Callithrix jacchus: one gene and its partner. The protein of the gene in region 1 interacts with the protein of each later gene in a pairwise test. Links are inferred from orthologs where the notes say so. Each region holds a gene or a part of one and is shown on either strand. Other genes may lie near its edges.

Evidence for each region.
Region 2: the proteins of UBE2K (region 1) and RNF167 interact in binary tests that used the Homo sapiens proteins (3 or more experiments, as listed by UniProt). The link is inferred for Callithrix jacchus from reciprocal best matches to the Homo sapiens genes UBE2K and RNF167.

The regions. Positions count from the first base shown.
Region 1 is NC_133504.1:154,051,920-154,055,573, reverse strand, and holds part of UBE2K (ubiquitin-conjugating enzyme E2 K), read left to right. Parts: intron 1-1,157; coding exon 1,158-1,257; intron 1,258-3,654. UniProt on the Homo sapiens protein: Accepts ubiquitin from the E1 complex and catalyzes its covalent attachment to other proteins. In vitro, in the presence or in the absence of BRCA1-BARD1 E3 ubiquitin-protein ligase complex, catalyzes the synthesis of 'Lys-48'-linked polyubiquitin chains.
Region 2 is NC_133506.1:106,512,168-106,515,413, forward strand, and holds the end of RNF167 (E3 ubiquitin-protein ligase RNF167), read left to right. Parts: intron 1-33; coding exon 34-121; intron 122-309; coding exon 310-400; intron 401-633; coding exon 634-739; intron 740-873; coding exon 874-967; intron 968-1,993; coding exon 1,994-2,074; intron 2,075-2,150; coding exon 2,151-2,458; 3' UTR 2,459-2,665; downstream 2,666-3,246.

The DNA.
Region 1 (3,654 bases):
AGAGTCTCGCTCTGTTGCCTAGGCTAGAGTGCAGTGGTGCAATCTCAGCTCACTGCAACCTCTTCCTCCTAGGGTCAAGCGATTCTCCTGCTTCAACCTCCTAAGTAGCTGGGATTACAGGCGGATGCCACCACAACCAGCTAATTTTTGTATTTTTAGTAGAGATGGGGTTTCACCATGTTGGCCAGACTGCTCTTGAACTCCTGACCTCAGATGATGTGCTCGCCTCGGCCTCCCAAAGTGCTGGGATTACATAGACATGAGGCACTGCACCCAGCCAGTGAAACAGCTTTTTAACAGAAATGCCAAGAATTCTTGCTAGATAGGTAGATAATATTTTTTAGATAAATATTAGCTTTATAAAGATATTTTCTTTATAAATACATTTAGAAGCATAAATTAAGTGATGTAGTTTAAGCAGAAAAAACTGCCTATTTCAGAATGTTGTGAAATAATTTCTTGTTTTCTTGAAAATATATTTGCTTCATAGTATTTGTTTTTAGAGTGCCATTGAAAGAAAATCTCACAGGCTATTAGCACTAATTTTTTATCACTTTATGTTTAGAGAAATGGATAGAAAATTAGTGGATAAAATTAACAAGAAGGATATTGGCAACAATAAGAGAAAACAAAAATAAGACAGTTCAGGATGAGATTATTTGAGTTGTCTTAGAAAAGCCGGCTGAGTATAGTGGCTCACACCTGTAATTCCTGAACTTTGGGAGGCCAAGGTGGGCGGATCACCTGAGAAGTTTGACACCAGCCTAGGCAACATAGCAAAATCCTGTCTTTACCCCAAAAAAAAAAAAAAAATTAGCTGGGTGTGGCAGTGTGTGCTTCCAGTCCAGCTACTCAGGAGGCTAAGGCAGGAGAATTGCATGAGCTCTGGAGGTGGAGGTTGCAGTGAGACAAGATGGTGTCACTCCACTCCAGCCTAAGCAACAAAGACCCTGTCTTTTAAAAAAAAAAGGAAATAGCAGATTGTTAAGGAAGAAAATATATGATTGGCAGATACATAATTACAGATTTCTGTGATTTGACTATATAATTACGATAAAGATCTAAGTAACTTTTAGCTCTACTGATTTTTTTATTAAGAAAATGCTTTTGCCTGCAGAGCTTTCTTAATTGGGATATTTTTATATTTTGGGTTTTAGGGCAGCTGCAATGACTCTCCGCACGGTACTATTGTCATTGCAAGCACTATTGGCAGCTGCAGAACCAGATGATCCACAGGATGCCGTAGTAGCAAATCAGGTAAGATGGCTGCTTTTGAAAGACTTTGTTACGTATGAGTCCCTAACCATTTTAGTGGTTTTGCAACGTTAACACATGAGCATACTCTCTTGAAACTAAATTTTGAAATGGTTTTCTTCCTTGTGGTAGGATTATTTTGTCAGATGTAATAGTGAAAACTGAATTAATAGAATGTTAATATCCTAGTTTAATTGAATATATAGATGCTGTTTTCCTGACATGAATATTTTTAAACGCATAAAGTCAAAATAATTACACAGTGAACACTCATATTCCTACCATCTAGATTCTATGATTAATGCTCATGTATGTATCCTTCTATTTATCCTTCCATTCATTGATGATCCCTCACTGCTAATAATTTTAATCACCTATCATGGCACTGATGTGGCATGGCAGAGTTGCCGATGACCTTGTAATTGTTGAATGGAATAAATATTTTTCATTTCGCTTTCCAGCTACAGTGGCTGAGTTTAATAGTTACAACAGAGACTGGACTGAAGTTATTAGTATCTGACCCTTTAAGAAACAGTTTGCCAGCCAGGTGCGGTGGCTCATACCTGTAATCCCAGCACTCTGGGAAGCTGAGGTAGGCAGATCACTTGAGGTCAGGAGTTGTAGACCAGCCTGGCCAGTGTGGTGAAACCCTGTCTCTACTGAAAACGCAAAAATTAGCCCAGTGTGGTGACACACACCTGTAGTTCCAGCTACCTGGGAGGCTGAGGTGGGAGAATCACTTGAACCTGGGAGGCAGAGGTTGCAGCAAGCTGAGATCGTGCCATTGCACTCCAGCCAGTATGACAGAATGAAACCCTGTCTCAAAAAAAAAAAAAAAGTTTGTTGATACCTATTCTAAGCCATTGGAATATAATGAGCATTCTTTTTTTTTTTTTAATTTATTTAACTTAGAAAGTTTTTCTTCTCTTTACTTCTAAGATATTACCCTCTTTTCTTCCTAACTTTATAGCTGTTCTTTGTTCGTTCCCACAATTATTTTTCTTCTTCTTTTTTAAATGTAGTTCCTCAGTTCTGACCTTGTTACCTTTATTTTCTGTACACACTAACACTTGGATGATCATATCCATACTGATGTTACCACCTGTACATTGATAAAATGTTTAGGCTTGCCCTTTCTGCTAAGCATGAAAGCCTGGTGTTTAACTAAATTGGTGATGGTATCATAGAATGATAGGTTCATAAAACGATGGTGTTACACTGAGACATCCAAGGAACATTCATATAGTTAACCACCAAGTCACAGCCTTTGGAGTTTTTCTCTGTGTCTCCTTTTATCCTGATAACCATTCCCTATATCGCTCTGTTACTCTATTTACGTAATTACTCTGATTGCCGTAGGTCACTTTTTTTTTTTTTTTTTTTTTTTTTTAATATGAGACGGAGTTTCGCTCTTGTTACCCGGGCTGGAATGCAATGGCATGATCTCGGCTCACGGCAACTTCCACCTCCTGGGTTCAGGCAATTCTCCTTCCACAGCCTCATGAGTAGCTGGGATTACAGGCACGCGCCACCACACCCAGCTAATTTTTAGTAGAGACAGGGTTTCACCATGTTGACCAGGATGGTCTCGATCTCTTGACCTCATGATCCACCCGCCTCGGCCTCCCAAAGTGCTGGGATTACAGGCTTGAGCCACCGCGCCTGGCCCATAGGTCACTTTTAAAAAATTGTTTCATTTCGACTGCTCTGATAGATCTCTCTTTCTCAACCTCTTTCTTCCTTTCTCTGTCTTCTACATTGCTATCAGGTAGCTTTATAAAGTGCAAATCCTACTTTACTTCGTTAACAAAAACTTGTTTGTAGCTCTATCACCTACTCAAGTCCAAATTCTTTAGCTTGCAGATCTGAACTCTCTGCAGACCTAGCTTTATTTCCTGAATTGTTTTCTTCAAACTCAGGCTTTTTCAAGCATTGCATTTATTTTTACATACTGTATCCAATCTCTTCCATATTTCCTCTGCCTGAGGAAACTTCCTCTTGGCATACTTCTTTAACCTGTAAGGTTTTAATTTATATATTACCTTCTTTTCCCTTCAAGATCTGTTTACTCCTTGCTTTATGTATATATCCTTGTAAACATGTTCTGTTATTTGCCTCAGAGTCCTTCCACTTAGGGTTTTCCATGTTTTATTTATGTGCTATTTATTCATATTTGGTTGTTAAAATCATGGCTTGAGTTCCAGCTTTGCTTTCCTGTTGTGCTCTAAGCCTTAGAGGTTGAGGTTGGACTGAGAGTTTCTTAGCCCCTAAAGTAGTTCAGTAATTTAACTTATTTCCTTATGAAGCAGTGATATAAACAAGATTTATCATTTTAATATGTACTATATTTAAATATATAAAGTGCTTTTAAAAGAAATAGTAAAGTGAATTGAATAGTAA
Region 2 (3,246 bases), on another chromosome or scaffold:
GATGGCTCCTTGTCCTCTGCCTTGTCTCCCTAGGTCCTAAATGCCCAGAAGGCTGGATATGGTGCCGCTGTAGTACACAATGTGAATTCCAATGAACTCCTGAACATGGTGTGGAATAGTGGTAAGGCTGAGGCAATCTAGACAGCTGGGCTTTCAGTAGGACACAGACAGAGATGGTGGGAAGGCTGAAGGTTTCAGGAAAAGAGGGCAATACTTTAGATGGGGCGGGGCCAAAGTGCCAAATGCCAGGGTTCCCAAAGGATTTGAATAGAAGCTCGTGTCCCCAGAGTAATACCTTGATCCCTGCAGAGGAAATCCAGCAGCAGATCTGGATCCCATCTGTATTTATTGGGGAGAGAAGCTCCGAGTACCTGCGTGCCCTCTTTGTCTACGAAAAGGGGTAGGACATGTGCCTCCTTCCCATTCTTCCTTCAACAAGCAAGTTCCATGCCAACCTGGAGCCGAGGCCTCCTCACTGCCTCAACCATTCAGCCTCCTGTCCTTCCTTCCCTGCCTCTTTCTTCCCATTCCCTTCCCTATCCACGGGCTTTGTACAGAGCCACTTACTTCGTCCCTTTTTTTTTCCTCCCTTTGCCTTTCTCGCCCTGCTAAGACTGGTCATCCTTTCCCCAGGGCTCGTGTGCTTCTGGTTCCAGACAATACCTTCCCCTTGGGCTATTATCTCATCCCTTTCACAGGGATTGTGGGACTGCTGGTTTTGGCCATGGGAGCAGTAATGGTGAGTAACTGAGGGAACACAATGGGAAGTACTGAGGCCTATGTGGCCAGACTGGATCTGGAGTTGGGAATGGTTTGTCCTGGATTGTCTAGTTTTGTTCCTAAGCCTTGTCCATCCACTCCCCCTTCCCCCAGATAGTTCGTTGTATCCAGCACCGGAAACGGCTCCAGAGGAATCGACTTACCAAAGAGCAACTGAAACAGATTCCTACACACGACTATCAGAAGGGTGAGGGGTTTAGGGGAGAAAAGAGCTTTTCCCACTGTTTACCTGGTTCTGAAGGACTTTGAGCCCAGAAGATAGGGTGTACAGAGATAGCAGTGGCTGGGCACAGTGGCTCACATAATCCTAAATGCTCACTTTGGGAGGCCGAGATGGGCAGATCACTTGAGCCTGGGAGTTTGAGACCACCCTGGGCAACATGATGAAACAAAAAAATCCCAGCACTTTAGGAGGTTGAGGTGGGTGGATCCCTTGACCCCAGGAGTTCCAGGCCAGCCTGTGCAACATGGCAATACCCATGACTATAAAAAACACAAAAATTGGCTGGGTGTGGTGTACTCTTGTAGTCCCAGCTACTTGAGAGGCTGAGACAGGAGAATCATTTGAACCAGGAAGGCAGAGGTTGCAGGGAGCTGAGATTGCCCTACTGTGCTCCAGCCTGGGTGACAGAGGGAGTCCCTGTCTCAAAATAATAATAAAAAGAAAGATGGCAGTGAGAAGGTTTCAGCTTATGATGCCATCTTTTCTTCTCCTTTTACTCACAATGAAGACGAGAGAGGAGATGGAATAGAGATGGCAAGCAAAGATGATTAAGTGAAATAATTGGGGAAACAACAGAGGGACAGACTTTGCTGATAAGGGATGTAGAGCAGAAAAATGGGAGAAATGGGGAGGATTCTGTTAGAGAAGGAAAAAACAGGTACCAAGGGGCTGGGGCTTTAGGCCCTGGGGCCTCCAGTGCCCATATAAGGCTATGGCAGAAGCCCTGCCCATTTCCGTTCTTTCCACTCCCTCTCCACCCTCATACCTCCCCAGAAACCCACTTCCCTTCTTACCTCTGCTTGTCTTTGTCCCTTCTAGCCCCAAATCCTTCCATGTTCTGCCCTGACCTTATCCTGCCCACCTGTCAGCTTTCCCACTGGCTTTGTAGGCAAGGGAAAATTTTTGCAAGGCTTTAAAAGCCCTAATGAATTAAGGGACCTGGTTCATGATGGCTCAGTGAAGGACTAGATTTCTTTCTTTCTGTCCCAGGAGACCAGTATGATGTGTGTGCCATATGCCTGGACGAATATGAGGATGGGGACAAGCTGCGGATACTCCCTTGTGCTCATGGTGAGGCCTTCACTGTCTGCACATGCCCCTATGCCACTGGCAGCCTCTAGGCATTTCACCTTGTTCCTCTCTGCAGCCTACCACAGCCGCTGCGTGGACCCCTGGCTCACTCAGACCCGGAAGACCTGCCCCATCTGCAAGCAGCCTGTTCATCGGGGTCCTGGGGATGAAGAGCAAGAGGAAGAAACTCAGGGGCAAGAGGAGGGTGATGACGAAGGGGAGCCAAGGGACCACCCTGCCTCAGAAAGGACCCCACTTTTGGGTTCCAGCCCCTCTCTTCCCACTTCCTTTGGTTCCCTAGCCCCAGCTCCCCTTGTTTTTCCTGGGCCTTCAACAGATCCCCCACCCTCTCCTCCCTCCTCTTCTCCTATTATCCTGGTCTAGTAACTGTCCTCCCCACCACACACACTGGTAACCTATTTGCACATTTTCTTCCCTCCAGTTTTCTAAGTTGAGGGATAGGGGACATTTCCATCCCAAGCTTCTCCCTTACCCAGACCTATCCTTTTCAGGAGCCTTGGGGTGGGCTGGGACAAGCAAAGGGACTGGGTCTTCACTTCTTGGGCTAATAAAATTGTTTTTGTGGACTAAGGAAGGGTGAGATCATTCTCACACCGGTGAACTTAACCCTTTGGGGTAATCACCCCTTTAGCCGTAAAGAGCAAGGGAATGCTGGGAGACACTAACCTATCGTCATGGGGACAGCCCCACAGGCATTTGCTATGACTCAGAAGGGGAGCCCCACCCACAAGGATGACTCAACTGGCCCTGCCTTGCCTGCAGGCCTGGACCCATTTTCTGATCCAGATGGCCCTATTCCATTACCCACCAATTTGACGAGCATACTGAGGACTTAGGCTTAGAAATGCCACTGTGGAGGGGCAGGGCCACCTGGCCAGAAGCTTAAATCCCTGCACCTTGTAGTGCTTCAACCTTCCTGCTCCCAAGCCGCTTTTAAAGGAAACAAGTCACAGTGCCTATCCCATTCTGACACCCAAGCTCAAATCACACAGCACCTTATTAGTAGAATCTTTTTTATTCAGAAAAAAAAAAAAAAAAAAAAAACCCAAAAAACAAAAATGTTTTCCAACCACACACAGGAGGGGTATGGGTAGGGGGAGGTGTCTGTCCATCCAGCCCTAGCCCCCAGCCCATGTGGTTTTGGCAGCAAT